Mytilus edulis: one gene and its partners. The protein of the gene in region 4 interacts with the protein of the main gene of each other region in a pairwise test. Links are inferred from orthologs where the notes say so. Each region holds a gene or a part of one and is shown on either strand. Other genes may lie near its edges. The genes, in order: cyclin-dependent kinase 1-like, cyclin-dependent kinase 5-like, cyclin-dependent kinase 14-like and cyclin-C-like.

The links.
Region 1: the proteins of cyclin-C-like (region 4) and cyclin-dependent kinase 1-like interact in binary tests that used the Drosophila melanogaster proteins (3 or more experiments, as listed by UniProt). The link is inferred for Mytilus edulis from reciprocal best matches to the Drosophila melanogaster genes CycC and Cdk1.
Region 2: the proteins of cyclin-C-like (region 4) and cyclin-dependent kinase 5-like interact in binary tests that used the Drosophila melanogaster proteins (3 or more experiments, as listed by UniProt). The link is inferred for Mytilus edulis from reciprocal best matches to the Drosophila melanogaster genes CycC and Cdk5.
Region 3: the proteins of cyclin-C-like (region 4) and cyclin-dependent kinase 14-like interact in a two-hybrid assay, tested with the Drosophila melanogaster proteins (2 studies listed by BioGRID). The link is inferred for Mytilus edulis from reciprocal best matches to the Drosophila melanogaster genes CycC and Eip63E.

What each region holds. Positions count from the first base shown.
Region 1 is NC_092352.1:29,768,902-29,777,761, reverse strand, and holds the start of cyclin-dependent kinase 1-like, read right to left. Parts: upstream 3,494-8,860; 5' UTR 3,406-3,493; intron 2,924-3,405; 5' UTR 2,854-2,923; intron 561-2,853; exon of another isoform or gene 450-560; intron 222-449; 5' UTR 181-221; coding exon 144-180; intron 1-143. UniProt on the Drosophila melanogaster protein: Plays a key role in the control of the eukaryotic cell cycle. Required for entry into S-phase and mitosis.
Region 2 is NC_092345.1:21,240,603-21,248,884, reverse strand, and holds the start of cyclin-dependent kinase 5-like, read right to left. Parts: upstream 3,710-8,282; 5' UTR 3,615-3,709; coding exon 3,578-3,614; intron 765-3,577; coding exon 676-764; intron 1-675. Other genes in the region: SWI/SNF-related matrix-associated actin-dependent regulator of chromatin subfamily D member 1-like, read left to right, coding at 7,753-7,827. UniProt on the Drosophila melanogaster protein: Probably involved in the control of the cell cycle. Interacts with D1 and D3-type G1 cyclins. Possible regulator of neuronal differentiation and/or development.
Region 3 is NC_092357.1:68,246,126-68,253,942, reverse strand, and holds the start of cyclin-dependent kinase 14-like, read left to right. Parts: upstream 1-4,038; 5' UTR 4,039-4,150; coding exon 4,151-4,199; intron 4,200-7,817.
Region 4 is NC_092346.1:91,812,150-91,820,840, forward strand, and holds the start of cyclin-C-like, read left to right. Parts: upstream 1-5,166; 5' UTR 5,167-5,317; coding exon 5,318-5,349; intron 5,350-8,691. UniProt on the Drosophila melanogaster protein: Component of the Mediator complex, a coactivator involved in regulated gene transcription of nearly all RNA polymerase II-dependent genes.

The DNA of each region.
Region 1 (8,860 bases), on a different chromosome or scaffold from region 4:
TTCAACATGTTCAATGGAGGACCAACTTTTTCAAGCGGTGAAAACTTAAGCCTAATTAAGAGCTTGAAATTTAATTTTTACTTATTGAGATGCAGATATAATTTTTATAGTCTTTTATTGACGAAATAAATTATCATATTCACCTTCACCAATCTTTTCAATTTTTACATAATCTTCCATTATTCAAATAAAGTATTGCTGCTATCCTATAAGTGCAGTATCTGAAACATAATTCATAAACTTTAAATAATAAACAAACAATTGAAAATCATGTGAACAGATAAGGCATGTTCAAACAAAATTGGCAAATTCGAAAATGGCGCGATAAAATTAAATATCTTCTAAATCACAATGTGCTCAAATATCACATGCCTCTAAGACAAACTAGAAGATCTATAACAAACTATATCAAAATACAGATAAACTTCAAGTTAATTAAGCCTTTAAACCTAGAGTTCAAACCTCTTTTTCTTTTTTTCACCGCTCCTGCATTTAAAATATGACCAATCAAAAATTCGAATAATTTTAAAACGTTAGACCGACCAAAATTTTAGAATATACTATCGGAGTCAATTCCGGGATACTTTTTTTTCCTGAAATTTTACCTCCGTGTACAAGTATTATTCTCCTGTATAAAAGGAGCACACCCGCATTGGATAGACATTAGACATTATTAGACATTATTTTATTAAACCAATCATGGGCTCTTGTCGGGCAAGATACAAAAACATCATACAATGATTATATAAACATAAGTGAAATACACAATATTATAAGTAATACACAAATAATAAATTGATAATATGAGCAATGTAGGATATAATTAAGGTCAGAGGCATTGAGTGCAATGAGGTCGATTTAATATTAAAAGAATATGATATAAAGTTTATTAATACGGAAACAAAAAGTAAAAATAGAACCAGGAATATCTATAATACTAAAATTACGAGGTCCAATTTGTCATCCGTCATCACGTAAAAACGACGAATCAAAGAATTCAACTTTATATACAACTAATATAGTACAAAGGTGTAGATTAAAAATTACACCACTGCAGGCCCTTTTGTTTTCCACGTAATTAATATCGCCAATAATTAGGAAGTTCCGGGTCGAGTCCGATACCGATACCAATAGTATAATCACCTGTTACCTATTACCTTATCTGTACGTTCCGCATTTAACAGGCGCACCACCAAACGGTGTATTCAGGATTAATATGCTATATAAACGGGTCATAATCACAGGGTTGACACTACTAAATTGTCAAATTGTTACCTATTGTAGTATTTTAATCCGTAAGACTTTCTAAGATAACAATACAAATACTAAAAATCTGGACTAGAAATAAGTTTCAATTTGTTAGCGGGCATGACGTAAAACAGCGAATCAAAGAATTCAACTTTATTTATAACTAATATAGGACAATGCTGTTGTTTAAAAGATACTCCATTCCCGGACCTTTTGTTTTCCAAATATTTAATATTAACAACAATTGATAAGTTCCAGTTCGACGGGTTCAAACAGAAAGATTTGAAAATTGTGTATCTTATAATCGGCATGACTTTATCAGATGACAGTACTAATACTAAGATAAGGCTTGCGCATAGTTATACGTTAATTCAGTCACGGAACCGCGATATCACGGGTGTGTTCTAGTAGTATCTCATTCTGCAGTAGTTCTCCTCATGACCAGTGCACAGCAGTGCGTATTGTGCATTTTCGAACTTAATATTCCAAACTGCATGAGAAATATGAGTAAACTGCTAAAATTCAAAATAAAGACGTGCTCGAAATAGCGTGCCAAAAATTCAAAACGGCAATTTACCCGGCAGCATGAATACTGAGTAAAGTAACGGACTTCTCTTGAACTGAATTTTAATGTGCGTATTGTTATGCGTTTACTTTTCTACATTGGCTAGAGGTATAGGGGGGGGGGGGGGGTTTGAGATCTCACAAACATGTTTAACCCCGCCGCATTTTTGCGCCTGTCCCAAGTCAGGAGCCTCTGGCCTTTGTTAGTCTTGTATTATTTTAATTTTAGTTTCTTGTGTACAATTTGGAAATTAGTATGGCGTTCATTATCACTGAACTAGTATATATTTGTTTAGGGGCCAGTTGAAGGACGCCTCCGGGTGCGGGAATTTCTCGCTACATTGAAGACCTGTTGGTGACCTTCTGCTGGTTTTTTTTCTATGGTCGGGTTGTTGTCTCTTTGGCACATTCCCCATTTCCATTCTCAATTTTAAGTAAGTAAGTAAAACTTTATTTGGATTCGGCATGCCGTTTGACAAACAGTACAAACGTAATCTCTAATGAGCTTTTCACCGAATATAAAACATATGCAATTATAACAAATCAAGGATTTGTATAATACTATACAAATCCTTGAACACATAAAACAAGGCATGCAGCATGCAAAATAAATAAAAAGAAAAATTAACTCTAAGCAATAGCATATACATGTATCTTGCGAAATACCAAAACATATACTTGAAATGAATTTCTCAGGTGTATTCTTCAGTGATTCTGATGCCACTATCACCTATTTTTACTGATTTGTTTTTTATCATTTTTCTGTTTTCTTTTAGATATTTGCACCAAATGATTTTCTATTCTAAATATTTCTTGTCCATTTTTGTCTTCTTTTTTTTAATCCGTTTAAAACAAATGATTCTCCGGCTATTTGTTTTTGTGTTTTTTTCCCTTTATTTTTATTTAAATCTTTATAAACCTTTTACACTGAATTGGATGGTGAAGGTGACACGAAGAGCTCATTTTCAAAATACCGTTTTTTCCCCTCACAAATCACACTTTTAAACATCATATATTCAATTAGCATTCCATAATTATTACCTCTTAATCCCAAATCTCCACTTATTTATCTCCTTTATCTAACTTCCCCAAAACGTTTCACCCTCTAGAGCTGAGATGAAATGAAAGAGAATATGGAATAAGGAGATGTAGTGATTTCAATCCGAGACACCTATTTCCAACTAAATCAAAATTACATTGAATCACGCAATTAGAGGTTACCATACGGCCTTCAACCATCAGCAAAACGAACACCAGATTGTAAGTCCTGGTATGGTAAATTAAGAAACAATTTAAAAGAAAAAAATCCAATGGGCTAGCTTATCTATGACAAAATAATATTTTTTAAGATCAGCTACTACAGACAGCCACCAAGTTGAACGACAACAACTTAATATGTGCATGCTAGTTGCAATATGCAATATAGATTTTATTTGCTAGCAAGTAAAATATATTTAAATTATTTTACTGACCAACATCAACGACGACAACAACATTTTTTACAGATAGGGGCCTACATCTTACGCTTCCATTCTAAATTCTATAGCTATATAGTACTGTCTTAACAGATATATATTCTGTAAGTATTTTTACTCTAAATTGATAAAAATGTTTTCTGTTTCATTAAGTTGTTGGGTTACTGTCCGTGTCATCCATTAAACATGGCAATCTATCTTTTTTTCTGTGACAAAAAAACTTGATATGAGACATAAAATGGCAATATATATTAATCGATATTTCATAGTTTTTATTTCTATGTTCAGTTGTGATGTAACACTATTGTTTCAGGTAAGGGCGAACGTTGGTTCCTATTAAAACGTTTTAAACCGCTGCATTTGTTTGCACCTGTCCGCTAAGACAGGAACCTGATGTTCAGTGGTTGTCGTTTGTTGGTGTGGTTCATTCATAAGTGTTCATGACTCGTTTAAAAAAAAAAATATATAGACAAGACCGTTAATTGGTTTCTCTGTTTCAATGGTTTTCCATTAGTAATTTTTGGGGCCCTTCATAGCCTGCTGTTCGGTGAGAGCCAAGGCTTCGTGTTGAAGAACGTACTTTGACCTAGCTATAATGGTTTACTTTTCAAAAAATGAAAAAAAAGTGACTTGAATGGAGAGTTGTCTGATTGACACGCATATCACATCTGCCTATATCGATCTATATCTATTTAGGAAAGTTTCGTGAAGTCCCTTACATAGATTTACATTAACTGTCCGACTCGGTTTCCGAGGTAAATAATATAGAAGGGGGTCTCAAAATAATGTGTACGATAACTGATATTACCGTGTTCAATCTTTTTTTTTTAATGATAGGTAGAAGATTTCAAGATGCAAGATTGATCGATGTATAGAAGATGCTCTTTTTCGTTTTCAGTTGTTGAGAGATATGTTCAGAATGTAAAAACATTCACAACATTTTGTTTTGGGTCTTTTTGATTCAACTGTGTATAGTCTTGGAGAATCGGATAATATAAAAAAAAAAAGAAGCCTGTGGTATGATTACCAATGAGATAACCGTTCTCCAAAAGAGACCAAAATGACACAGAGATTAACAACTACAGGTCTCCGTACGGCCTTTAACAATGTACAAAGCCCATGCCGCATAGTCAGCTATAAAAGGCCCCGAAATGACAATGTAAAACAATTCAAACGAGAAAACTAACGGCCTTATTTATGTTTTTATTTTCAATGAACAACTTGTACATTCAATATCCACACATATATTTGTTATGTTTTGTTCCGTTGGTTTTTGTATACTGTTTTTTGTAGTTTATTTTTTTTGTTTTCTGTAATAGTGTTGTCAGTTTATTTTTCGATTTATGAATGTCCCTTTATTATCTTTCGCCTCACTTTGACTTTTCGCAATTTTTATTCCAGGAAACAAACATACGATGTGCAATACAACATATATGCTGTAAAGCGGTAACAAAGGGATTATGTTACGGATATGTATGTTTTATGTGATGAGATATTTCCGTAGATATATAATAAATAAATAAAACTTGCGTTTTTTATAATTTTGTCGTCATTGAACCAAAAACACTGAGTCTTGTCTGACTTTCAAATTAATCTAAATCCGATGATATTCGTGGCTTTCTGAAAGTATTAGATGTCTTTTAGATATGTTGATTTATATTTACGAATGAAGTCCTTGATCCGACTTTAAAATTTAGTAAATGTTTTGAATAGTTTTGTGTTATTGAAAATCCTGGTGCAATAGTTTTCAGTAATACCGATATTTCTTTCGTTAAAGTCAAATACGTAGTTACATATATCACGCCTGGTAAACCATCTAATCTCGGAAAAAAGTATTCTGGCACTTCCTGTTGAGCTTTCTGCTTCAAAATATTCAAAATAAACACAGGGTAGGTCGAATTTTCGTCGATTTACTGAAAATCAATGACATTTTTGTAAAATCGGAGAATGTCATGCCATAGATAAATAATAATTGTAACTAATATGTCTCTTCTTGGTTTAAAATATTTTAAATTGAAGTCACAATCACTTTTCTCCTACGGATTATAATGTTTACATTCTTTAAATCCGATAGAACTGCTATGATATTAATGACTTAGCAAGAAAATATGTCAATTATTTGTGTTTTTTTTAAGGCTTTACGATAACCACGTCTGTAATTTGCACAAATATTTCTTTGTCAAGCTACTCTGAGCAGAAAAATTAAAGAATATAAATAGTTGAGATATAAAGGTATTGGTTGAGTCTTTCTGTCACAATGTTGAGACTTTCTGGTTGCGCTGTACTATTCGAGTTTACCTTTTTTTTTACGGTTAACCTGATTCATGTTTTCTGTCTGTGGTAACATAAAATCTAAATACAGATACAATTTTAAGCATTGCCGATAGAAACATGCATGCCTTACAAATATAAATAACATTATTTTAACATGGTTATTTATTAATATGATTTGGATGAATTCGATTCCTAACAGACATTATTTAATGCCGAAAATGCGTACATGTATAAAGAAATAAAATAGTTAAAAACTAAACAATCGAACAGGACCCCTTGTCTAGAATAATTTTTTCGTACACACTATTTCAGGTGGTGATAATTTAAATGTGAGTAAAAGATGTCATTTTTGTCATTATAATAGTTATCACAAAAAAAATATGATTCGATTTTAAAATTGCTTTGTAAGTATTATAAGTGACGTCCAATTTAGTGTAATCACAGGTGTTGTATTGAAATAATTAAAACTTAGATGTTTGTTCACAACTGCATTCAGGGCACATCCTTAATATTTGGTAGTATTCAGCAACATTTATATTATAACCCGGGCCCCGTCACACTAGGCCGTGATCGCACTACGATCTCTAAAAAAATAATGCATTATGCTATTGACGATCGTAGTCCAGTATGGTCGTGTTACGGTCTTGATGAGGTCTTGGTGATCGTGTTGAGAGTAGCAAACTTTAAACATGTTCAAAACAATCGTGATGCGTTCTTGGCGAAATCAGGTCGCAGTTCTGTTCTAGTCGTAGATTTTTTTAGCCGTGGAACTGTCAGGATCAGTTCCAGGTTGAAGTGTGTAAATCAGTTCTAGGTAGAACTTACCAATGACCAAATCAGTTCTTGGTTAGAACTGTTCTAGCTAAAACTGTCTTAAAAGTGTCAGGAGATAGTTCCACATAACTTTTGATGAAATGAATGACTTTAATGGTTATCCATTTCTGAATATTAATTCAGTTTTCTTTTTAAATATTTTAAAACTGGATTTGACGTAGCTAAATTGTGGGAGATAGTTAGTTTGAACTCTGGCCTGGTCAACTTAAATTCTAAAAAACAAAATTGTGTGTGTCTATGCTAAACATGCGATATCTGCTAAAATAACAAATAACAAAAGTTTTTCATTTACAAAATTTGCATCCGTTAGGAGTCCGCGATGTGATGACCAAATAAAACGGACGTGTAATATGCCGAAAAATGGGGTGGAAGAGGAATAAGAAAAACAAATGTCAGAATAAAAAGCCAATAATTTTGCCTGATCATGATTAAGAAGTTGAACCAAAAATGATACTAAAGGAAACTAACATACCAATAATTGCTTTTTCTTACGCGATTTGTTTTCAATTTGTATGTATCCGTTTTATTATCAATGTTCTTTCTGTGGTACGATTGCCAATGATAACTCTCCACAAGAGACCAAAATGACACATAAAGTAACAACTCAGTAGAGGTCGCCGTACGGCCTTATAATATAAGCAAAACCCATACTGCATAGACAGCTATAAAAGGCCCCGAAATGACAATGTAAAACAATTGTAACGAGAAAACTAACGGCCTTATTAATATATATAAAAAAAATGAACGAAAAACAAATATGTTACACATAAATAAATAAATAAATTCTAGCCCTTGAGGTGTCAATTACAACATTATTGACGTTAAAGCTTCTGTGCAAAACTGCATCTCAATCGCTATAGACTTAATCTCCAGCGTTAGAACTTTAATACCAGTACTTAAAAAAACACAGCTATTTACTATTTAGACTCTATTACAACCAAAGTCCTTTTTAGAAGCTGCTGTGATAACTACAGACAAGATTAAAATGACTGTTGAAATGTCAAACAATATACGGCAAGTTTATGAATTTTGACAGTTGTACATGTAATTGATACTAAGCTACACAAGGTCATGTTTTTCTCTGACTGTTTATGACGTCTTGACACTAAATTCATTGGATGTTGGATGTGTACGGATTGATAGTTTAGTCTAAGATGCATGATTTTTTTATTAGTAGTTAGTGGCTTTGAACTAGCTGTCAGATAACTGCGAGTACTCTCAGATCTGTTCCTAGTGTATTTTTGTTGTCAGGATGTTCAAGAACCCGGCCACGTCCAATCATTGTATTTTTGTCTATCTGATGAGTTAAGTAAACCTTTTTCACCTGATTTTTATAGTTCGTTCTTATGTTGTACTGTTATATAGACCACTGTCCCGGGTAAGGGGGAGGGTTGGGATCCTGCTAACATGTTTAACCCCTCCACATTATTTATGTATGCGCCTGTCCCAAGCCAGGAGCCTGTAGTTCAGTGGTTGTCGTTTGTTTATGTGTTACATATTGAATCATATTTGTTTTTCGTTATTTTTTTTTTTTTTTTATATATAAATAAGGCCTTTAGTTTTCTCGTTTAAATTGTTTTATATTGTCATATCGGGGCCTTTTGTAGCTGACTGTGCGGTATGGGCTTTGTTCATTGTTGAAGGCCGTACGGTGACCTATAGTTGTTAATGTCTGTGTCATTTTGGTCTCTTGTGGACAGTTGTCCCATTGGCAGTCATACCACATCTTCTTTTTTATAGTTGAAAATTTCATTCACCAGAAGATCTCAACATTGTTCCAGAATATCTCAACCGATACCAGAAAATCTCAACATGACATACTTTATAACATATTTAGCTTAATGAAATTATATTAGTAAAGAAAAAGAACGAACAGTAATTTTATGTTTATAATGTTTTAGAAAAATACTAATTTACTGATATATATGCTAGTTTATCAATGATATCACTGTCATTTTGTCAATAGCTGACTGCGCTGGTCACATTTACCTGCTGGAGAAAAGTCATTACGATGTCATTTTAAATCATATTCATTTGTGTTATACACGAGATAAACCGTAATTCCAATATCTATGGCATGACATTCTCCGAATTTACAAAAAACGCATTGATTTTCAGTAAATTGACGAAAAGTCTACCTACCCTGCGTTTATTTTGAATATTTTGAACCAGAAAAACTCAACAAGAAGTGCCAGAATACTTTTTTCCATCTCAACATTTAGATTGAGATTAGATGGTTTACCAGGCGTGTATATATTTCATTCTGACTTCAGTTTTAAATGCATATTTAACATGTGACAATGTCACGATTATTTTGTCTTAATGAGATTATGAGGCGGCAAAGAGGTAAATATAGGACAGTAAAAAAACACTTTGAACACCTACCGTGCGAGGGCTGTATAGCCAGTTAAGGTAGTTAAAAATTTCCATCATCAACTTTGAACAGATTTGAAATCACCAATTGC
Region 2 (8,282 bases), on a different chromosome or scaffold from region 4:
TGGTTGTTGATTGTAGATGTGGTTCATAAGTGTTTATAGTTTCTTGTTTTTTATATAGATATGACCGTTAGTTTTCCTGTTTGAATGGTTTTACACTAGTCACTTTTGGAGCCCTTTATATCTTGATGTTGGGTGTGAGCCAAGGCTCTGGGTTGAAGGCTGTTCTTTTACCTATAATGGTTTACTTCTACAAATTGTCACTTGGATGGAGAGTTGTCTCATTGGCACTCATACCACATCTTCTCATATCTACAGGCACTACAGGCACTACATTCTATACATGCTATATATCATATCCTGAGCAGATACTTGTAAAACGAACATAATTTGTATGATTTATATGTATACATCCCCCCGCCCCCCAGGCCCCCACCCCCACTCCCTCCTTTAAAAAAAAAAGAGTTTTTTCAAGCATTGTAAGTTGTTTTCTTGTTTGAATTGTTTCACATTTTTTCATGCCAGGAACTTTAATCAATTATGATATGGTATGGGTTTTGCTCAATGCTCATTGTTGAAGGTCATATGGTGACCTACACTGCATACATTCACTTTTTTTGGTCAATCAATGGACTCAGCATGGTTGAAAATTGTCTCATTGGCAATCAAACCACATCTCCTTAATTTTGTATTACCAGAATCTATTTTTACTGAATATAGAAGTCTAGTTTATCTTACTTCGTCATCATCATCTAGTCGTACTCTTTTTAAAGCTACAACTTCATGTGTGTCACGATTCTTAGCCTTGAAAACTGTACCATATGTTCCTATAAAGAAAATCTAATTACCGTAAATATGTTTAGTAAATCATGTGTTACATATATAGAGAATAATACATGGCAAAATCCGTATCATATGCCGTATCATCCCGAGATATCAATATCAGCCCGAGGGCCTCTATTCCCAAGGGATGATATTGGTCGAGGGTGATACGGCATGTGATACAGATTTTGCCATGTATTATTCTGTTTATCATATATTTTAATGGAATCATATTCATGGGATATCCATTTTTTTTAAATCGTCCGAAATTATAAGCAAGAAAAGAACATTGTGATTGTGCTGTATTTTCCCAGCTGATTTTTTTTTATAGACTTCCTTATTTGCTTAATATCCACATCGTAATATCCCCTATAACCAAATTTAATTCTCACTATATGTTTAAGACAATGTATTAAAATGCATCCACCAACGATACTATCCTAATATTTCAACAAAAATTAATATTAAAAAAATAAATATCGTAAGATGTAGAATGTTTAAAGTTTTATTGTTTATTTGGCGATGATATTATTCATGATCTGGTTCATTTTAACTTCTGGCGAAGTGAACACCAAGAAAAATATTTATTGGAAAGTTTACTATCTTTTCTAATCAAATTAAAATCGTAAAAAATTTCATTTGTGTTTAACCCATCAGGTAATGAAAAGAGACTTCATAAAAAATAAGACTAAACAATAAAACTTCAGATATTTCCATCTTATTGTGTCTTTTTTTTATATAGATGAAAATCGCTCGTGAAGTCACTGGTACTATTTTTTTTTGGAAAATATTGATTTTATTTGAAATGCTAGGACATTTTTGTTAGTTTGAACTCGATACAGGGTATGTGATACAGACTGGAAAAAAGACCCTTTATTAGATATACAAAATTGCTGTATTTTATACTAAGTATATGATAAATGTACCTAACATACCCATATTCTGTTCTTAAACTATAATATAGAAATGTAAAAACTTACAAACACTTCATATTTTTTCAGTGGAAATTTGTGTTTTTTTGTAATTCTACATAAATTATTTCTCTAACTTTTTTCCCAGTGAAACATGTTACCATGGTAACCAGCTGGTAACTAACAATTTCAATTCAATATTGTTTAAACTTAATAATTATTGAACGATTCATGCATGAATATTTCTTAATCATTTCTGTCCATTCAATTTTGCAATACTAGCCTCACCGGACACAATTACGAACGATTTTTGAACTGTGATTAATATTTTTTTTATGTAGACTACTTTTCTTGAATTTTTTATACCATAGAATTTAAGATGTATGAAGGCTTTCTATTTTGCATCATATCCCACATAAATTTTTATGCATGTTGGGATACTTTAGTAAGATTTGCGTGACTTCGTTTTACGGGTCAAGAGAGCCACATATGGACGCAATTCCGAACAGCACTATATTGATATATCTTGCAGAAGAAATCAATGACAACAGTCTATATTGATAAAGCATACATTAATCTTTATCTCAAACACATTTTCATAGGAAAATAAAAAGCACAAGTTTGTTTTTTACTTCAATTACTTCAGCAGTGGTTGCAGACGAAATGTCGGTCATGTGTAAAGGAAAGATTTTTGATTTTTTTTGTTTTTGTGTAAGTTCCTCCTTTAAAGGAGCACTAAATTCAAGTTTATCCATTTCGGTGGTGTACTTATCATTCATCTATAATTTTTTTTATATTGGTCAACATTTCTTTCGGAGTTGTCTGGACTTTTCAATAAAATTAACATATTTTCTTTTGGCCATAAATAGGTTCACAAGAGTCTTAAAAACGTCAATTGTGGGGTTATATGGGCATGATAAAAGGCATCACGCATATGAACAGAATCAGGAGATATTTTTCTTTCTATATATTAACAAAAGAAGGCAATATGCACTTACCTTTATGTATTTTTTTTATATAACTTCCAGGTCAGATTGCCGTTCTTATAATATTTTCAGAATGATTTTGTCATCGTCATCAACATTCACCAAGTGCACATAAATTGTATTATCATGAAAACAAGGGATTTTTAATAGGGTTTTTATTTATAAAAACATTTATTGATAAATATAAACAAATATGATCTCGGAGGGCAAACATTGGAAATCGTTCGTAATTGTGTCCAGTCGTAATTGCGTCCTGTGGGGCTAATTGTTTTCGTACTACTAATTTTGACTTTGCATTATGTAATTTTAAAATTGTGCATATAAAACATGAAACTGTTTCCTTAAACATTGTAATGATTGTAAGCTTTATTTAATTCTTTATGTTGCTCTTATCTTACTGAGTACCAGAATGTTTTTCCATTGATAAAGTAACCTGTCAAAAAAAATATAAATTCAGGCTTCAAACGTCAGGTTACATTTAAGTAGCATTTCGCTAGGGCAGTGAGACAGCTATCTATGTTAGCCAAAGGTAACAATCCTGGCTACTGGGATGTGAGACTGCATTTAATTATTTGGTCAAAACTTGACAAAAGCTTGTGGGTTGTGTTGTTGATGCTGAATCTCAAAATATTTTATTCTTATTCTAATGACTCCAATACAATATGTGTTTTTATTCAAATTAAGGTGCCTCAGGTTGCAATGGCATAGATACAATCTTAATTCAGTATATGCAAATTATACAGTTTGTCTCTTATAGCATTATTGCCATTTATAGCTGTCATAAATTATTGATTTATTCAGTTGTTTACAACATAGACGTAAGATTATAGTTTCTTCTTTGAAGTAGAAAAAAATCGAACTATCAAATTATCTACTATATTTCCAACGTTCTCGTCCATATTATTCATAAATTTTACGAACCTTCTCCTATTTTCTCTAATTTTTCATATTTTTGCATTTTCTGGAACAATTTTCCGGAGAACTATCGTACAGGGGAGCGAAACCATGCAAATGGTATGAATTTACTTTCGACACGTAGTGTGTCGCCACCTGCCTCTTTAGAAACTTTACAAAGTCCGAGAGTCAATATAATCTAAGTTAACAGTTCGATATAACGTTTTGACCGAGAACGTTAATGATTTTGCAAGAATGATTTTATAAAGAGGCTTTTTACATTTTATTGAAAATTTCCATATTTTTTTTAACAACTTCATTGATTGTTGCATTAGCCTTCATGTATTCTTAGCGTCTGCATTCAACATAAAGCTCATGGGATTTCCTGATAAACTTGCAAAAGTTTTCTTTTTGTCTGCTGCGGCGCCGGCTTCCTCTATGGTTCAGTGTTACTGTAGTCATAAATGAAAGACATCATTCACAGTGCCTGGCACATCTGTTGTTCCTCAATGTACTATCTTGGTTCCAGTCTTGTTACTTATATATATATATATCAATGACCTGTCAGTATTGAATTGACCACTTACTAAGAAGGCTGGGTTTGAGGACAAGGAGGCTTTAAAATTATACTTTTGGTAACAAATCATCATTGGTTATGATAAATGAAAATGAAAGAGGACACTGACTGACATCCTGACTTTTATTATCACTGGACTAGTATATATTTGTTTAGGGGCCAGCTGAAGGACGCCTCCGGGTGCGGGAATTTCTCGCTACATTGAAGACCTGTTGGTGACCCTCTGCTGTTGTTTTTTTATTTGGGCGGGTTGTTGTCTCTTTGACACATTCCCCATTTCCATTCTCAATTTTATTTTAGACTATATATAATATAATATATAAGAAAAATGTAAGTAAAGAGAGATTAACAGCTTCGTTGCTTTCTATCTAGATAAATGTACTGTGCTATCCGTCAGCTAAAAGAAACAACCCATTTAGCATGGCTACATTCTACATAATCGATCGTACACTAGAATATGTAACCTCTGCTAAATACCGCTGTACCATATACATGTAGTACAGTCATACCTCGAAAGAGAAACACATATATAGTTGATATTAGACAATATACGTATACCGTGTCTTGAAATGTGAAATTTATTTGTATGAGGCTTAGAAACGGGAAAATGCGAGGTTCTATCATACTGAAATCGATAAAAAAAAAAAAAAAAAATAATAAAAATATGAAACAAACATTTGAAAAAAAAAGTGTTGGGAATTTCCCCCTTGGGGTACCATTTTTGGGTATTTCCCTATGAGCGTAGTCTAGGCGGTAAGCATTGACAATTTAAGGAATTAGAAAGGGAAAATGAATTTAATTAATAATATTTGATAAACATGGTATATAAATTACCAATTTGAAGACATAACAGGTTTAAATTCATAAAATTTTGACCATTGTTACTACATGTTGTCATGGTTGCGACGTGAAGTTGTAAGTAGGCGGGGCTTATAGGTGAGTTGAGGTCATTGACGTATAAAGCTAACGTTTATACGTATAGCTTTATCTGTATAGTAAAATAGCTGATTGCAGTATAATATATCATCCTACAGTACCGCAATAAATCAATGTGGTTCCGTAAACATAATCTGAAAACACAAATCATCGCGATTTAAAACCCAGGGATATCAAACACTCGTTCTGTCAAAACTTGAATAGTCTTGTTTTGCTCATTTATATACAACAGAGAACCAAGTCGTAACCCGAAATTGAGATGGTCTAAACATATTCACCACAATAAAATTAACGTCACTGACAGAAACGTATGCTGTATTCATCATACAGCCTCGTACTATAAACATGTAGCTCAACTATACTTGTGACCAGGATTGTTGATTTTGAGTTGCTTAATGTCCACTGGCAAATATGTCATGCATGTCCTGGACAAGCAACAACCAGGAAACCCGATTCACTCACACACAAGAACATGCAATGACTCATACAGACACTCATACTCTTCCACAACACAATACCTTCCTGTATTACTTGTTTAGGCTACAACAGTCTTTGATATCTTAAGTGAACAGCTCATTTCTACTTTTCGCTATCCTTGTTAAAAAAAAAAGCTTAAAACCAGATGGTATATAGTGTTTGTAATTTGATCAGAAAAATGTCATTTTCATTGCATTAATAAGGTAGATATGGTGTCTTCCTCCATCTTGGATTTGGAAATACCAGAAAACAAGGTCTAGATCTTTAATAGAATGTGCAAATTTTTAGAGTAGTGGGTATTTCATGCGTAAGAACTTTCATTTCAGTATGGTTGTATTTTACAAAAAACAGAAAACTTTTGTTTGATAAATTTTTTTCCAACTTTGCCACATAAGGGAAGGCAACTCAAATGCAAGGACAGATTATTCAGATTTTACAATAGAATGTGTTAGGAATTTACCTTTTTTTTTTAATATAGCGAAAAAACGGGTCCGGTGATCCCATTTTTTTCATTACTTAACTGAAAGCATACTATTAAAGCTATCTTCTCATATGTTATCTCAAAATTCTATGGTGTAGTTTACGCTTTATTGCAGAAAATTGGGTTTTCCATACATAATCTATACAAAATTTGTCAATTTTGAACACCATGTAGCGGGAAAATAAGCCCCGTGACCCATTCTATTTTTTTTTTAAAGCATGATTTAGACTATATTTTGGCAAATTATTAAAAAAATATATGGATTGTAATTTAGACACCCCATCTACCTTAAATAACTATTTTCTGTTTAATTTGGAGTGAAAAACCCATGGATGCAACAGTTTGACATCACCGAATGTCGTAACATACTATATAAATAAAAAGACACAGTTTGAGTGGTAAATTACAGAATACTCAATACAGCAATACAGGATATGATCTTTCAATCAGTTTAAATGAGATCTGGTGCTTGCATGTCAGTAATTGCTAGAAGTCCTTTGTTAATTTTGTATCATCGTCATTTTGCTTATAGTTTCTTTTGCTGCCTATTCTGACATCGGACTCCGACTTCTTTTAAACTGAGTGTTTACTGAGCGTATTGCTGTGTGTTTGTTCAATTTACATTGGCTAGAGGTATAGGCCGGGGTTGAGATAATAGTTATCAAAAGTACCAGGATGATAATTTTATACGCCAGACGCGCGTTTCGTCTACATAAGACTCATCAGTGACGCTCAGATCAAAATAGTTAAAAAGCCAAATAAATACAAAGTTGAAGAGCATTGAGGATCCAAAATTCCAAATAGATGTGCCAAATACGGCTAAGGTAATCTACTCCTGGGGTAAGAACATCCTTAGTTTTTCGAAAAATTCAAAGTTTTGTAAACAGAAAATTTATAAAAATGACCATATAATTGATATACATGTTGAACCCCGCCGCAATTTTTGAGCTTGTCCCAAGTCAGGAGCCTCTGGCCTTTGTTATTTTTTTTTTAATTCTAGTTCATTTATATGCATGTTTAGAATTTAAGTATGACGTCCATTTTCATTAAACTAGTACACATTTTATTATAAGCCAGTTGAATTCCGAGTCTTGTTCTAAATTTGATGTCTTAGAAATGGTTACTCCTATTGTAATACATTATGTTCTATATTATTCAGATTTAGATATTGTCGTACATTGATATTTACCATTTGATACATGTCCAACACAATATGTTTATAAAATTCCATTAGTCTATTATATTGTGATTTTTTTTGTTAATGATAATGTAATAAAAATAATTTAAAAAAAACTGACTTTGTTTTGACATGGTAAAATTTCTTAATTAATATGCAAAATGATACATTATAATTCTATACATATCAGTAGTAACGAGAAATATACATTATAAACATGCTTATGACATATGTGATAGTTTTAACCACTTAGACTTTATTGGAGCGAGCTAAGTTGAGTTGTAAAAAATCAGAGTCACACATGATCAAAAACCGATTAAAAAATATTAAGTTGAGGAAGATCGCAATAATCAGATTTCTGAGATTTTTATTTTTATTTTAAATATATGCCGAAATTTAACATTTAAAAGTGCCGAACAATAAATGGGGCGAAACACTATCTTTATACATCATCTGAAGACCGAAAATATATATCTTGTGGTAGTTAGTCATTTCATGGTCACGAGAAAAAACGAGATTTCAATTTACCAAGCGAAGCCGACAAAGAAAATCAAATGCAGCCACAACAGCGGTCGTTCCCAGCACAGGGACCACCAATGAGACCATTTCCCCAGCCAGGTTATTCCCCTGTATGTATATCTTCTTGTCAAAGATTAGTGAGATAAATATACATGTGTACAACTATGAAAGTTAAGAACAAAACAAAAAGGGGGATGGTAATGCTTAGACTGTATATCACTTTTTAGAGGGAAATACTTTATTGCTTTATACATACTAGGTATCACAAAATTAGGACCATGCAACTGATAATGCTTATCAGTCGTCAGTTATGGTGCTGTCTGATGTACAGTATAGTATACACACTCCAAAGACTTATGGCTTTACTTTGCCTGTGGTTAACTCTTATAACAAATAATGGGTTTAATTACAAGATAATCCATTTCCCCATTTAAATTTAGTCACAAAAGTCTCGTGATAACGTCAGAATTTATGCAGTATTGAGATAAATACAGCAGCACTCCATGAAAATATCAACATACATGTATTCAAGTTGTCATAATGATCAACTTACAGTTGGTTATAT
Region 3 (7,817 bases), on a different chromosome or scaffold from region 4:
TATGTCACTATCATGCTTGTCAGGTCAATAAAGATTGCTTATTTTGGCGTTAATATTGATTCACTTATTGGGTCTTTGCATCGGAACTAAACACATTTATTAAAAAAACAGTTGTTGGCATGACACGGGTTATGTTCTTCTCATATATGTTATGATGGTATGATACTAAACCCCTAACGGGAAGGATTGTGCCTGATATTCATATGATGAAATCATAATCTTTCAATCAGTTTAATTGAAGTCTGGAGCTGGCATGTCAGTTAACTGCTAGTAGTCTGTTGTTATTTATGTATTGTTGTCATTTTGTTTATTTTCTTTGGTTACATCTTCTGACATCAGACTCGGACTTCTCTTGAATTGAATTTTAAATGTGCGTATTGTTATGCATTTACTTTTCTACATTGGCTAGAGGTATAGGGGGAGGGTTGAGAGTTCATAAACATGTTTAACCCCGCCGCATTTTTGCGCCTGTCCCAAGTCAGGAGCCTCTGGCCTTTGTTAGTCTTGTATTTTTTTAATTTTAGTTTCTTGTGTACAATTCGGAAATTAGTATGGCGTTCATTATCACTGAACTAGTATATATTTGTTTAGGGGCCAGCTGAAGGACGCCTCCGGGTGCGGGAATGTCTCGCTACATTGAAGACCTGTTGATGATCTTCTGCTGTTGTTTTTTCTATGGTCGGGTTGTTGTCTCTTTGACACATTCCCCATTTCCATTCTCAATTTTATTCCATGTTGTGCAATATTGTTTTCCAGTGTATGGTGCGTACTCTGATTGTCCTTCCGTAATTAGTATTCTGTCATACATACTCTCATGGTGTGCCCCCTGTAAATATTGAGCAACCATGCCATAAGGTATACTTCTATGACCAAAAGTAAACTCTGTCGTTGATAGTGTAAATACAAAAATTTTTGCATGCATTTATTTTTGTGATTTTTTAAGAATAGACAGCAATGCGAGATTGATTGTTGCGATTTCAGGAAAATCTATTAGAATTCAGCTGAATTGCTACAACCACCATGTCGCATATTTAAAACCATGCAATGAAATCTTAATTTTGAGAGCAACTCTGTCAGTATTGTACTTCAATGGTGTGTACTCTGTCACGAAAGAGAGACCAAAAATATCAAAGGGATACACAAACTCATTAGTCGAATATGAACTAAATATGCCATAGCAAGGGGGAGGACAGGGGGGTACCCTTCTCCCTTCTCCCACCCCTTTTCTCCTTTCTCCTACCCCCGTTCTCCTTTCTCCCATTAGAATAAAACGTCTCCTTTTGAGATATTTTTTCTTGAAATATTAGAAAATTTTTTAAAAGGAGAGATATTTTATTTTTCTCCTTTCTCCAACTTTTTCTCCTTTCTCCCAGCCTTCCTCTCCTTTCTCCTACCCCCTTTCTCCTTTCTCCCACCCCCTTTCTCCTTTCTCCTACCCCGTTTCTCCCTGTCCTCCCCCTCATAGCAAGAAACGAAAAAAACGACCACAAAACAAATAGTAGTATACAAAACATAATATAGAAAAATAAGACTTAGCAGATGAGGACCCCCTCCGAAATCCCTTTAAAAAAACTAATCAAAAATATCAGATGATCCGGAGGAGTAAGAAAATCCAGCCCCAATCGTTTCACCTGCGGTTTTGCTCATGCAAGCACAAACACGATGATTTAATTTAGTATAATTTCTGTAAATTTCGCTCTTTTAATTCAGTGGCGATAATTTGTACTAAATGCAATGGCGGATCCAGGGAGTTCCGAGGGATGAACCCTCTTTTTTGACGACCAATGCATTTGAATTTGACATATGATTGGACCCCCCCCCCCCTTTTGAAATGGCTGCATCCGCCCCTGAAATGCGATTTAAATAATGTGGAAAATGAACACTTACCTTGAGAAAAAGATGACACTGTAAGCAATATTTATTATCATACTTCACATAAAAATGCCGTATTTTGATTGTCTAATACGCTGGTGTTAATTTACTCTGTCACCTGGCTGAGCGGGTGACAATTTTAAGTAGAATGTCACTCTCTCGTCCATTCCAATTAAAATCTATAATTTATAAAGGGAAATGAATTGAATTTACATTAAGTTATGAAAGACCATTCTTAAGTTCTACGTTTTGGCTCAGCTGCGGATTTTACAATTTGAATGTCAGTTGAAATGGAAAAAAACAAAAAACATCTTGCTTAACTTCTGTTGATTTTTTTTAATACCAGTAACGTTGTTGCCGGTGTTACTCACAGGCACTCGTCTCAGAAAAAAAAAATAAAGGTGTATAGGGGCTGCATGAGACGAGTGCCTGTGGTGTTACTCTATATTTAATTCACCTTGCATCTGAGACTACTATAACACAGTGTTATAGTAGTCTCAGCTTGCATGTATAAATTCAAGACAAAAAGCTAAATAAAAAAACCACACACACACACACACAAAACAAACTTTTCCCACTACATTTATTATTTTAATTATTTTTCTCTAAAAAATTGTTCACAATAAATTCCTGCGTTTTATATCGGCAGACTATTCATTTTCATTCTGTCTAATGTGGGAAAAATCATGTATTTGCAACTCTTACCAGTCAAGGTCGGAAGATTCATTTAAAAAATCACAATATACTTACAATTACCTTTAGGGAGCAACCATTTGCTGCGAATGGTCACGGCCTGTCTTTTTTTTTTTTTTTATTAATTTATCCTTACTTTTTTTTTTACATTGATTGTCATCCTTCATGTTTTGCCAAGTTGCTCATCATGCCTGCCCTATTGTTATACTCAAAACTGTCCAGTCCTATCTTTCATCAAATATTTCATTCTACCCCGGCCCCCCTAAATTAAACAATTTGTAGCTGCCTTATACGTGTTCATTTTATATATTTGCATCTTTTTAGCTCACCTGGCCCAAAGGGCCAAGTGAGCTTTTCCCATCACTTGGCGTCCGTCGTCCGCCGTCGTCATCGTCGTCGTCCGTCGTCCGTCGTCGTCCGTCGTCGTTAACTTTTGCAAAAATCTTTTCCTCTGAAACTACTGTGCCAAATTAAACCAAACTTGGCCACAATCATCATTGGGGTATCTAGTTTAAAAAATGTGTGGCGTGACCCGGCCAACCAACCAAGATGGCCGCCATGGCTAAAAATAGAACATAGGGGTAAAATGCAGTTTTTGGCTTATAACTCAAAAACCAAAGCATTAAGAGAAAATCTGACAGGGTTTAATTGTTTATAAGGTCAAGATCTATCTGCCCTGATGTTTTCACATGGATTGGACAACCCATTGTTAGGTTACTGTCCTGAATTGGTAATTTTAAGGAAATTTTGCCGTTTTTTGTTATTATCTTGAATATTATTATAGATAGAGATAAACTGTATACAGCAATATAAACGTTCAGCAAAATAAGATCTACAAATAAGTTTCATGACCAAAATAGTCAATTGACCCCTTAAGGAGTTATTGCCCTTTATAGTTAATTTTTAACATTTTTGATAAATTTTTGTAAATTTTTAGAAAATATTTTCCACTGTAATTACTGGGCCAAGTTCATTAGAGATAGAGATAATTGTAGCAACAAGAATGTTCAATAAAGTAAGATCTACAAACACATCACTATCACCAAAACACAATTATGTCATGAATTTATCCGTGTCCATTGTTTAATATGCACAAGACCAAGGTGAGCGTCACAGGCTCTTTAGAGCCTCTAGTTTCTCTCTCATTACCGTATTTAACAGTATGTTGGGCTTAAAAAGTCAGTTAACTATGATTATTCAGTGACACACAGCAAACTGAACTCCAAAGTGCTGAACTCACTAGTTTATTTACAAAAAATTAGGGGGGCAAAAATACGTCAGTAGATACATAGCAATAATTTCTCGAAACACTGTACAATTCTTATTCTGTCTATTTCATCGGAATATAACGGTATGTTAAGTGATCGTAAGCGAGTGGTCTGATTGATTGCAAGCAATATTTCATAACTATAATTGTAGTTAAATTTCCCGCGGTTTTAACTAGACTAGAAGAGTTCCGAATGAAATGTATTGACAGAAAATCGAAAATCAGAAAAAGGTCGCCAAACAACAATGGAACATTTTCTTACAATGAAATGAATTATAATGAAATTTAATCATTCAAAAGTGAATTCACACGGAGAATATGGCGACCGAAGTCCGCTGTAATGGTGAAAAACCGAAATCAAGAGACGGTAAGGTTTTTTTCAAGATGTTTTTGTGTAACCGGATGACTCATGTCGCATAAAAAAGGGGTTCTTCGTTGACAAAAGAATGACTGTTCTTGACACACTTATTGACATCTTGTAAAATGAATGTTCATATAATAATAACATTTTGCATTTTGTAATAGACGCCTGTAATATTTTATTTGTTTATTAGCGAAGAAATTTCATATATATGTTTCAGTTTCAGTTCAGCCGAACAGCTGAACAGTGCAGGCCTGTAGCATACCTGCCAACTTTTCAAAATGCTCATGGGGGTTTTGCGTGCAAGATGGCTAATGTAGTCCTACAAAACCTTCAAGGGGACCTTTATGTATATTTTAATGTTGTTTTTAGGCTTCTTCATACTGTTACAAACCTTTAGCCACTATAAAACTAATTGTTTTGTTTAAATTTGTGGACAAAATTGCTCTTTCAAAATTTCCATTTAGGAGCCTCCATGGGGGAAATCCCCCGCAAATAGTGACACTTGGCAGGTATGCTGTAGGTTGTCCAACCTTTCAGACAAGTGCACATGTAGTGTCATCATCATTCATATGACAACCTTAAGTTTAGACTATCCTGGCCTGAAACTAAAAGATCCTAATTCCAAAATTTTTACTGCTGTCAAATATATTCTTGTGTTTTTGGCTTTTGTTAATTTGGTGTGTTTGCCCTTTAGGCTCTATTTATGTTAGAAGATGGTCCCTTTCCCAACCTCTCAAGTAATTTAATAAAAGTACATTTGTACATGTTTTTTTGAACATTTCCTAGCAGTCACTCTCAAAGATCAAGTCATCATGTGTTTCAAAGGACCACAGAGTTGCATTATTTATTGGGGCTCTCATTTGGGGGGGGTTCTGATCCCGGATCCCGCTTACTGTTTTGTCAGATTCCCGTTTCCCGCTTACACTATGTACGTAAGCAATTCTCATTTTTTTGTCATTTCCCGGGTCCCGTTAGACCTCATTTCCCAATTTCAAGACATAATAATTTGACTTTCACGTGTCACACTTAAAAGAAATCGGCAATCCTGCGTCACGCTTAGACCTCATTTCCCGTTTTCAAGACACAATAATTTGACTTTCACGTGTCACACTTACAAGAAATCGGCAATCCTGCGTCACGCTTAGACCCCAATGAGACTCACTTTATCAGCATTGGTAAATTGGCCTAAATTTAATTGTTTCTGGGGGACTATTTTCCATATTTGGGGACCACCTCAGACTTTTTCTACACTGCTTGGTCAAATTATTTGAAAAAAAACCCCTGCTTTCTTGTGCTGTAACATAATATTATATTAATATCTTAAATTTAAAAATGTAAAAAAATAGTGCCATTAAATCATACATTGTACATGTAGGTTGGCAACCAATTTTCAATACTAATATAAAATGAGAAGTGAGGGGGGGGATAGGGTCGGAGGGGGTCTGATCCTGAAATCTAGGGCTTCAAAACATGAGATCCTGAGGTTCCAACTTTAAAGAAATTTAAATTCCGACATTCCAGAAATTGAAAAAAGAATTTCTAGATCCTGAAAGGATTAATCCCTAAATCCCAAGTTTAAAAACACCTGATCCTGGCGTCCCGAAAAAGGTTCTGCCCCCCTTTAAAATGAGGCTTTAATGTTATTTGCCACCAATTGAATTGAACCAATTACTACATCATGTCACAGAAAAAGAATGTTAAATGGTCTATTATAGTGTCATACAATATCTGCCCTTTGATACAATACATGAACATGATTTGATATTTTTTATCATTGTGAAATTTTCAACTAAAAAGGCTCACAATTTAGTAAAATATCTTTCATTTCCATTTACATTATTCAATGTGAGGGGAGATAATCACTTAATGAATTGCAAAATATCAATATCTTTTCTTTGAACTCAATCTATCCTACATGTTTATGGTTACAGGTACGTGTAGATACATGTATATAAATTGTACAAGTAAATAAATTGTAATTTTTAACAATATTAGTTATTACAGTAATAACTTTGAGAACCATCAGGGGCGGATCCAGCCATTTTAAAAATGGGGGGTTCCCAACCCAGGATAAAGGGGGGGTGGGGGTCCAGCTATATGTCCCCTTTAAAATGCATTGATCGGCCAAAAAAAGGGAGGGTTCATTCTCAATTTTATTATGATTCTCCTTTGGACAGCCCCAATATATAATTAAATTTGTATATCTGATGGGATACATATCAGCTAATTACTTTTAATTATTTAATATACAATGTATATATTATAAGATTGATTTTACAAGCACCTAAGCCAATATAATCATCCTCACTGTTGTGTTTACATATAAAATAAACCAACTTATTATGTTTATTTCCTTTGAAAAGATATTGATCTTGTAGTATTTATTTACATAAGAGAGGGTTTGTAAATACTTAAGATGTGGTAATAATACTGTGTACATGTGAAGAGAAAACAGGTGCATGTTAAATGCTTGAAGTCAACTTAATTCCAAAATTTGAAAAGGTATTACATTTAACATGTTTAAATATATATATATATAAAGAGGGAATTTGAAATATTTTTAATCATAAACATGCAAGAGTTCATCTCTCTGTCCAGTTTTTGAACCTGGTCAGGTAAATTTGTTCTTTGCTTTTGAAAAGTTGCTGATAAAAGAGAACAAACATGATTTTCTCGCTGCATTGTAGATACTTTGGCTGTTCTCTTCTCTTTGGTCAGGTTGTTGTCTCTTTCACACATTCCCCATTTCCATTCTCAATTTTATACTTATTTTTGTAGTAGGGTCTAAGGCATGAAAAATTAAAATAAATAAGGCCACACATTAAAAAATATTTCTTAGATGTTTCCTACCATGATGCCTCGTACAGTTTAGTATATAGAGAGGGATTTTTTTCTTGGCCAAAATTGGACTTTAGACGAGACATAAAAAGTAAAATCACAAAAATACCGAACTCTAAGGAAAATTCAAATTGAAAAGTCCCTAATTATCAAATGGCAAAATTAAAAGCTCAAACACATCAAACCAATGGATAACAACTGTCATATTACATTTTGTATTACAGACTTTGTACTGGGATTTTATTATGTAGAAAATGAGAATGAAACCTGGTTTTATAGCTAGCTAAACATCTCACTAATGTGTGACAGTCGCATCAAATTAAATGGATCTAACTAGACAAGTAGGTTTTTTTTTGAGTTTTTCCCTTATTAAGATGACTTTACCAGAAGATTACAGTCGGTAATTTTAAGTGAGATAAAATTGAGAATGGAAATGGGGAATATGTCAAAAAGACATCAACCCGACCAAAGAGCAGACAACAGCAGAAGGCCACCAATGAGTCTTCAATGCAGCAAGAAAATTCTGCACCCAGATGTCCTTCAGCTGGCCCCTAAATAAAAATGTGTACTATTACTATAGTTCAGTGATGATGGATGTCATACTAAACTCCAAAATATATATAAAAGAAACTAAAATTAAAAATTTGTACAAGACTATCAAAGGCGGCAGGTTAAACAAGTTTTTTGAGATCTCAACCCTCCCCCTATACCTCTAGCCAATGTAGAAAAAAACAAATGCGCAACAATATGCACAGTAAAACTCAGTTTGAAAGTTTAAGACCA
Region 4 (8,691 bases):
GTTTAGTATTAAAATATTTTTCCATTTCTAATCTTCATATTTGTTTTTTTGTTTGTGAATTATATTAGAAAGGAGCAAAGACTGGTGTCCAGAATATGAACCAGCATACAATGAATTAAGTTATGTAAAAATGATAAATCTGTTCGGATAAAGATGTCAAACGCTATCCGTATTAATTACCCCGAAAAGATTAGGATATATCAGGGTATCGACTGACGTCTGACAAAATAGTAGAAAGGGGCTGAATATTGAAGTAGTTACTTTTTGATAAATATTCCTAAAGTAATGAACTAGAGAAGTTCTCGCTCGGACACACACTCCATAATCTAGTATATTATAAGAGCATATGCCTAACAGTATAATTAGGCAATAGACTTACTGCCTAGGCGTTAGCTTATTGCCTAGGATTTAAGCTTAATGTCTAATTTCACTTATTGCCGCTAACATATACATTTCTCTATAAAACAGGTTTGTTCAGATAATAAGCATACATGAAAAAAATGTTAGAATTTGTCATTTAAGGGCAATAACTCCTACAAGAACTCTTCTGACAAATTTAAAGTAAATTGACAATCTGTAAATCTCATCATACGTAACACTTAAGTTCATGACAGATTGTTTTTGTTCATATCGGTTTTCAGACCAAACTTGGCTGCTGATTTTCTATATTTATCTAAATGGTAAAAGAAAGAAAAATCTTTAACCAACATTTTCTCTTTCTTTTCCTGTAGACGGTTAGATATATGTCAAAAAGAATAACATCGGAAATGTGGTATCGGGAATCAATGAGGAGGTTTTGGAAACGGGCTACAGACTTATTTAATCATTTTATGGGTGAACCAAAAAGTATTGGCCACATTACAGAAAACTTTTGTGAGCTCGGAATGACAATCACAAGACGCAGTGATTAATTTTGCAGTTCCCAGCCAAAAGATACGATCAGAATTCATCGCCATGGACCTTGATATCCCAAATTCTTACTTCGGCTTTAGATATCTTGGTTTTAACGTTGAAACATGTCTTCAAGTTCCATGAGGCTGAAATGGTTTCCTTGTGATCAGTGGATTACAGGCGTAACTGTTACAGCTATCGGAAATTGTCGGAAATGACCTTTCTTGTATCAACTCGGTTCTTTCTAGTGCAAGTGACATATTTGGAACATACTCATATTATGTTAATGAAAGCACAATAGATATCTCGTATCAAGGAAACCATGACAGCCTCGTGGAACATGATGAAATGTTTCAACGTTAGAACCAAGATATGTAAAGCAGAGGTCAGATTTAGGGTTGTCAACGGCATAGCGATGAAGTGTGATAGTATCTTTAGTTTTGACTTGGAACTGCATAAAATTTTCCTGCGTCCTGGGGATCGTATATTCCACGCTCATAAAAATTTCGGAGTGTCTATTCGTTCGGTTGTCCGGCTAGCCGGACGAATAGCCATTACCTGCAAATTTTCTGTAATGTGTCCAATACTTTTTGGTCCACCCATAAAATATAAAAAAAATACCGAGAAAAATGATGTAACCAGTTTCCCGTCGGATACAGCCGATTTCCGATGTTATTCCTTTTGAAATTAATCTGACCGTCTACAGGGAAAAAAAAGAGAGAAATATTGTCTAAAGATTTTTTTTCTTTTACCATTTGGATAAAAGATAGAAATCAGCAGCCAGATTAAATTTTTTTGAATCTCTGTTTTGAAATCGTTAAGAATATTAGTGTCATCGTCTTCATCTCTCCTTGAAGCTGTATTGACATTTGATGGAAAAAAAATTCCGGTGAGTGTTTCATTGGAGAAAGTAATCGAGTTTGTTTTAGAGTGGTTGCTTTTGCGGCTTGCGCGAGAGCTTTTGAGAGGAACCTGGTGATGCACTTTGATGGAGTTTGACTGATGGTGGCTTCGGCCAAATATTTTATAGAGGTGTGTTCTGTGATTTTCCTCGATGTATCTGTGCAATGAGCCTCAACCGGGACCTTTTCTGAGTCAATTTTTTTACTTTTTACGAAATCAAAAGCACATGTCTTAAAAGACAATTTCAAAGAAAACAGGCAAAATGAAGTACATTCAGTATGTAATGTCTTATCATAAAATAGCAGATATGTTTGAACTAAAAAGTATCAGATATAGACCGATTTATATGTAAATCTATTCTATTTTTATAAAAAGCGATCTACCCCTTGAGACGCAAAATCTGACACCCCGAGCGACACTTCATATTTGGATGAAAAACTAGTTTTAAAATCAATTAATTTTAAGTAAGAAGCTGGTATTTGGTTAAATTACATGACAGGAATTCAATTCTATATGATACGGAAGGAAGTCGTCTAAAGAAGTTTTTTATCCAGAAATTTGCATATGAAGCCTCAAAATCTGCAACACGGAAAACTAGGGAGAGGTGTTTGAGGAAACATAGTACTAAATACGACTGCTTCTGCTTGCAGGAAATAGATTATGTTTCAGTTCATTCCGTGCAATACATTTTATGGTACTAAGAATTCTAAGAAAAAGAAATTTTGATACTTGAACTTACTTTGATAGTTTTTCTCCGCTTCGAAATTGCCACCCGGCCCGTGTCAAACATAGCCGACACCCCGCATGCATGTGGCGTTCTACAAGGTGTATTTGCAAAGAAAGAAATATGGATATGAAAATGGCACAAAATAATGAATGTACGCATTGTCATTCAGATAAAGCACAAACAAAATTATTTTCAGCAGAAAACAATATGGACCCTAAACATATTCCTTCCAAATTTATTATTTTATTTTAGACCGATGAAAAACCAAATATGTAGGTATATGATTAACTGGCATATAAGGTATTATATATTAAGAAGATTTTTTTAATAAAATTGAAAATCTTTTCCAGGTCATTTAAACATTTCCATACCGCTTCTCCTTCTCATCAGAAACCCTGCTAGTACTAGATTCAGTATGAATTTCGTTTTCACCGACTTATTCTCGCCCATTTGTATATTCATCAAATCATCACTTTCCTTTTGCAAGATATTTGTTTTAAAGAAGTCCCTGTGCTTTTTTTTTATGATGAATGATCAGTAACTATTGTTTAAAGTAAAGTAAAGTAATCTTTATTTAAAGTCGGTTTGCATATATACATAATAACAAGGAACATATGATCTTAAGAGCTCTTTAACCGACTGATATTAATAAACAAAAAATACATGTAATAACATCAGATACATATACAACACAAACACACAAACAGACAGACAGACAGCATACATATGTATCAATACATAAATAGCACATGCAAAATAAAAGCTAAGCAAGATATATATTAAAAGAATGTCAAATATCAGCACATAGTAGAATATATAGACAATAACTGTTTAGTGTCTTTAAATATCAGCTGTATTTGTACGAGGCTAGGAAACAAGGTGTATGCGAGCTTTTAGCGAGCTATTACACCTGTTTCGAGCCGAGTACAAATACAGCTGATATTTAAAGACACTAAACAGTTATTGTCTTTATCCTGCAATTAATTCTGTATATCATTTGTGTTTTGAAAGACACAAAAATACATATTTTGCATTTATTTTCGATTTGAAATCCCTTGAGGCCCGTGTAGTAATACGATATGTAGTAATCACACATTCAGAAGAAGGCGGGTTCGCAAAAAAAGAATCTCGAATGGTCAACAATAATACATCGCTCAAGGTGAATAATTATCTATTTTAACATAACAACTAATTTCAACAGTAAAAACAAATAACAAAACATTGTCCAATTTGAGACAGGAGTGTACGAGTTGTCCTACGCTTCAGACTCGACATTTACTTAAAATGCATGCTGAAATTGACATGGTTGTTTTTGTTACACAACCATACACATTCAAGTTGTTCATGTGTGTATGTTATCAGACAATTGGTGTGATTCTTATTGCTCTAAAGAAATGTTTGGAAACAAACAGAACGTATAAAAGTAATCGTTAATTCGCAATTGATACGTCATTGGAATGCGACTCCAATACACATTCTGAGGTCACGTAGGTTCATACAATACTCAGTCCGGCAGTTGGCGGAGCTTTTAAGCGATATCTGTATAGTATACAGATACAGCAAAGCGATATCTGTAGGGCTGTATCTGTATAGTAGAACACCCAATTGCAGGATAAAGTAGTATTTATATTAGAATAGCACATGTAAAATTAAACACTATGAACACAAGCAAAAGACTGCATGCAGCTAAAGCACACAATGCATAAGCAAATAAATAAATAAATAAATAAATAAATAAATAAATAAATAAATAAATAAATAAATAAATAAATAAATAAATAAATATATAAATAAAAATAACCGGCTGCAAAAAATAACGGAAAAGCGAAAAGTTATCCCCAATACACGGATGCCCCACTCGAACCGGGTATCATTTTCTATGTTCAGTGGACCATGAAATTGGGGTAAAAACTCTAATTTGGCATTAAAATTAGTACGATCATGTCATAGGGAACATGTGTACTAAGTTTCAAGTTGATTGGACTTCAACTTCATCAAAAACTAACTTGACCAAAAACTTTAACCTGATGCGGGCTGGGACAGACGGAAGAACGAACGAACGGTACGACGAACGGACGGACGGACTGACGCACGCACGAACGTAGGTGGGCATAACAATACCAGGCTTCAAATTCAAATCATTGGACAGCAAGGAGTTACATTATTTACAAGAGCTGCAGGTACAATTTATGAAAAAGAGCAGGTGGAGATAAAAATTTTAACTGTTTGAAGGCTAGAAACTGGCATTTAAATGTTTTGTATGGTTTACTCAAACCTTGGCCTTACCCATAACAACTATGTTTTGTCAATAACTTGGTTTATATCAGGTTAATTAGTGTAAATGTGTATTCATGTGGTTTTTTGTTTAAATGTACTTTAATCATTCTAATCATTTTCTGTGCTTTATTTTGTAATTCATTTGATTGTATAGCTCAAATTTTGGGCACCATGATTGGTTAATAAAATTATCTATCTACCTTAACTTTGCACAGGGAGAATTATAAATGTTTATTCGCTGGTTAACGATTACGTTCGTCAATTCCATTATTATTTATATTGTTACCAATATCGAGGGGCCTCAAAATCAGCTTCAAAATAATTGACGTCAAATCTCGGAAATGTCACACAGTTGGTCGGCATTTGATGCTGCGATTCTAATCATTTTCGGACATCCGGATCTTTTTTTCCCAGAAAAAATAATAACATTACAGATAGGACTCAACTAGAAAGCACCTGTTATTAATACCCCAGTGCGATACAGTTATTTTGATAGTATGAATTGATACACAGTTGAAAATGGCAGGAAACTTCTGGCAAAGTTCTCATTTGTATGTACAAAAAGAAGTTTAATAAATATTAGCATGTACCACACAAAAGATTACTATGAAAAATGAAATACTAAGGCATATCAGAAAAAAATCATAAATTGGATTGAATTCTTTTCTTTCAAATTATCAAGTGGGTGAAATAAAGGGAAGTCAATAGGTATAATTTGTATTGCCTGTTAATATGAGGCAGGCATTACCTGTAAATGGGGACGAAGTCTATATGAATTATTTTTTTGTAACTCAATTATTTGTCAAAAAAAAATACACGGAAATACAGTAACGTTTCCGATTTTGGTTCTGTTGTTAAGGATTTTAGTTGTGACGTTATTTAAATTATGACGTCATATGCAATGTAAACAAGAAACGCTATCATTAGGTAACGTTTTTTCATATCAAGGAATTATTAAAAATAAAATAAGTATTGCGCGTTCCTTCCTATTTTATACTAGACTGATAAATATATATTTTACTCAAAGTTTCATACAAACGAGACCGGAAAAAGGAAGTATATTGTACATTTCTGCGCAGGTCCGGAATTTCAAAACATGACATAAAAAAAATTGAACGATTTTGAGTTCATTAGTACAATGAAAAATTCGGGAAATTTTCCCGAATTTTTTTTTTTATTGAATTTTCTACTGTTATTGGGGACTTCGTCCCCATATAAATATTCTTTCAATATATTACAAAAGTTAAAACACAATATATCGTCGTGTCATATGTTTTTGTATGTCATATGTTTTCGTATCAACCACATTTCGTCGGTTTCGACTGCATACGCGTACATTGTGGCATGTTTTTCTGTTTATATATTTAGAACAACAACACTACTACAACTTGATATATTTAAAACATATTCAACGTCGCTTTTTAAAGACGTTAGAACAAATTAAATAAAACTGACCTATTTAGCCATTTTTATTTAATGTCAAAAATACGCATCACTAGAATAGTTGTGGAAAAAAATTCTGAAGGGTTAAAATAAAGTCCAGATATGTTTTTTTGCAAGTCAGACACCGGATCTTCAAGACGTATGACTGTCATGTGTTTTTTTGGCCGTTTTAATTACAAACCATCGAGTTAAAATTAGCAGGGTTCTTATATAAAATGGTTGTTCAAAATCTAACTATTCAATATTTCATTGACAATTTTTTTTATACATCCTTGATACATGAAGATGAAAACAGTCTTTTACTTTTTATATTTAATCATAAATTTTGAAAACTGCATTTTATTTTAGAAAAAATAATGTATTTTGTACAAACCAGGTGCCAATCTGAAATTAATCAAAATCTAAAAATTTCATCACACGAAACACCAACCTTACACTTTTTACTAGTAATTTTTTGTACTGAAAAGTATTTAATAACTTTTTTTAAGATTCAAGCGATCACCCGAACCACGACTTTAGAAAAAATGTATTTCCGGATTTTGTAGTCATTTCCTGTCCGTGTACTGATCCAACTTTTATTTCATACGAAAACATATGACACCGTTTTTTTGACATACAAAAATCGCAAAGTAATCGGAAACAGTAAAAAATCGTAGAAATCATTGACAAAAAAACTAGATACCTAAAATCAATCTACAGGACATGCTTTTTAAATTTGAGTAAACACCTAAATAGAAACTCAACAGTAAAAACCGTAAGCAGTGAAAATTGTTATAAGTACGAAAACACATTACACGATGATACATGTATCATAAATAATTAAATACATGTACACAAATGAAAATACATAAACATAAATGCATAATAAATATATTTTTTGGCAAACACATCATCCGCCAAGCCTGAAAGGCCGCCAAAAAAATAAAGATAAAATACTAACTATCAAAACAGTTAATCATGATTAACACCAGACATACTATTATCTTTTTTCTCTCTTCAAATAAGCTCCTTCCTTTCAAAATGTGTATAGATAATGAAAGGACAAAACAGCAAACCAACTCAGAATGTATGTAGATCCTGGGTAGTTAGAGGAAAACCAACATTATATTCAGGATGCAAGTTCTCTGAAAAGAGAAAAAAGAATAATTATAGTAAACAATATACATGTATGAAGTACAAAATGTAAATAAAAACACAATTGTAACACATTACAATTTATATACTCTGATGCTTAATAATGTTGATTATCTTTTTTCTGAAAAGTTCTGTACCAGCAAAATTTAAATGAAGCCCATCTCTCGGAAGCAAATGAGGAAGAATCTGGAATATTGTAGAGTAAGAAACTCTATACAAATTACAATATAATAAATTATTTCTTTTACACAATCTTTTTAACTCAGTATTAACTTTATTAACTTTAGCTCCAGTGTTCATGTGATCAACTGGTCTAGGAAGACTTAGCAAATGTCTTCTTTTTTAACTTGTTAATTAAATCTCCAAAATAAGACATAATAGTATCTACGGATTGAGACGAAGAAATATTATTAGTACCAACATGTACTATAAGGAAATCTAATGAAATTAAATCTACTTTCCCAGATGAAATTAATTCAGTAAGACGACCAATAGTGGCACCAGGAAAGGCCTGAGTTGTACACCCATCTATTCCACTAACATATTTAGGTATAGACGCTGACACAATGGTCACCCTTTTTTCTAAGAAATTCCCTGTAAAATTTATAATAAAACATCTGAAATATGTGCTGTCATCTTTTCTGCTACTGAAATCTTATTGTCTAATGAAATTTTAAATATCTCTTGTAAGCATCGATTTTCCAATCTTCGTACAATTGAATTAACTCCGTAGGTACTTCGGCTGCAAAAGCCCAGCTAGCCCCCCCCCTCGCCTAAAACTATGTGTAGAATATGACGACGCATCTATACCAATCTCAGTAATTAACTGTTTCAGTATTGTCTGAAATTGTCTATACAAGACAGGTACACATAATTTATTTTTTATAAACAATAAGCTGGACTCTTATCAGAAGTACAAACCAAAGACTTCATATTCAAAAAAGCTTGAACGGGACACAATGGAGAATCTGGTATTGAGACTAGAGGTATCAATAATTCTCTCTAACCAAACTGAATGGGGTTCGACCATTTAACACTTATCAATAATAGCTTACGCTTACAATCGAAAATAATACATGTACTATCCCTACAAAGCTGTTTATTATGATCAAAAGTAGAAACAGAATCTGGAACCAAATTAGATTTTCTAAACATAAGAAAAAAGGCATGTAAAATTAAACACCATATAGTAGCATCATGCGCACTATTCATATCTACATGTAGCTTATTATAAATTTGAAGTAAAAAGTGAGGAGTAATTGGAAAGGCCTGTTTTAGACAATGTGCCTTAATTCTACATAAACCTCTTAATAGTT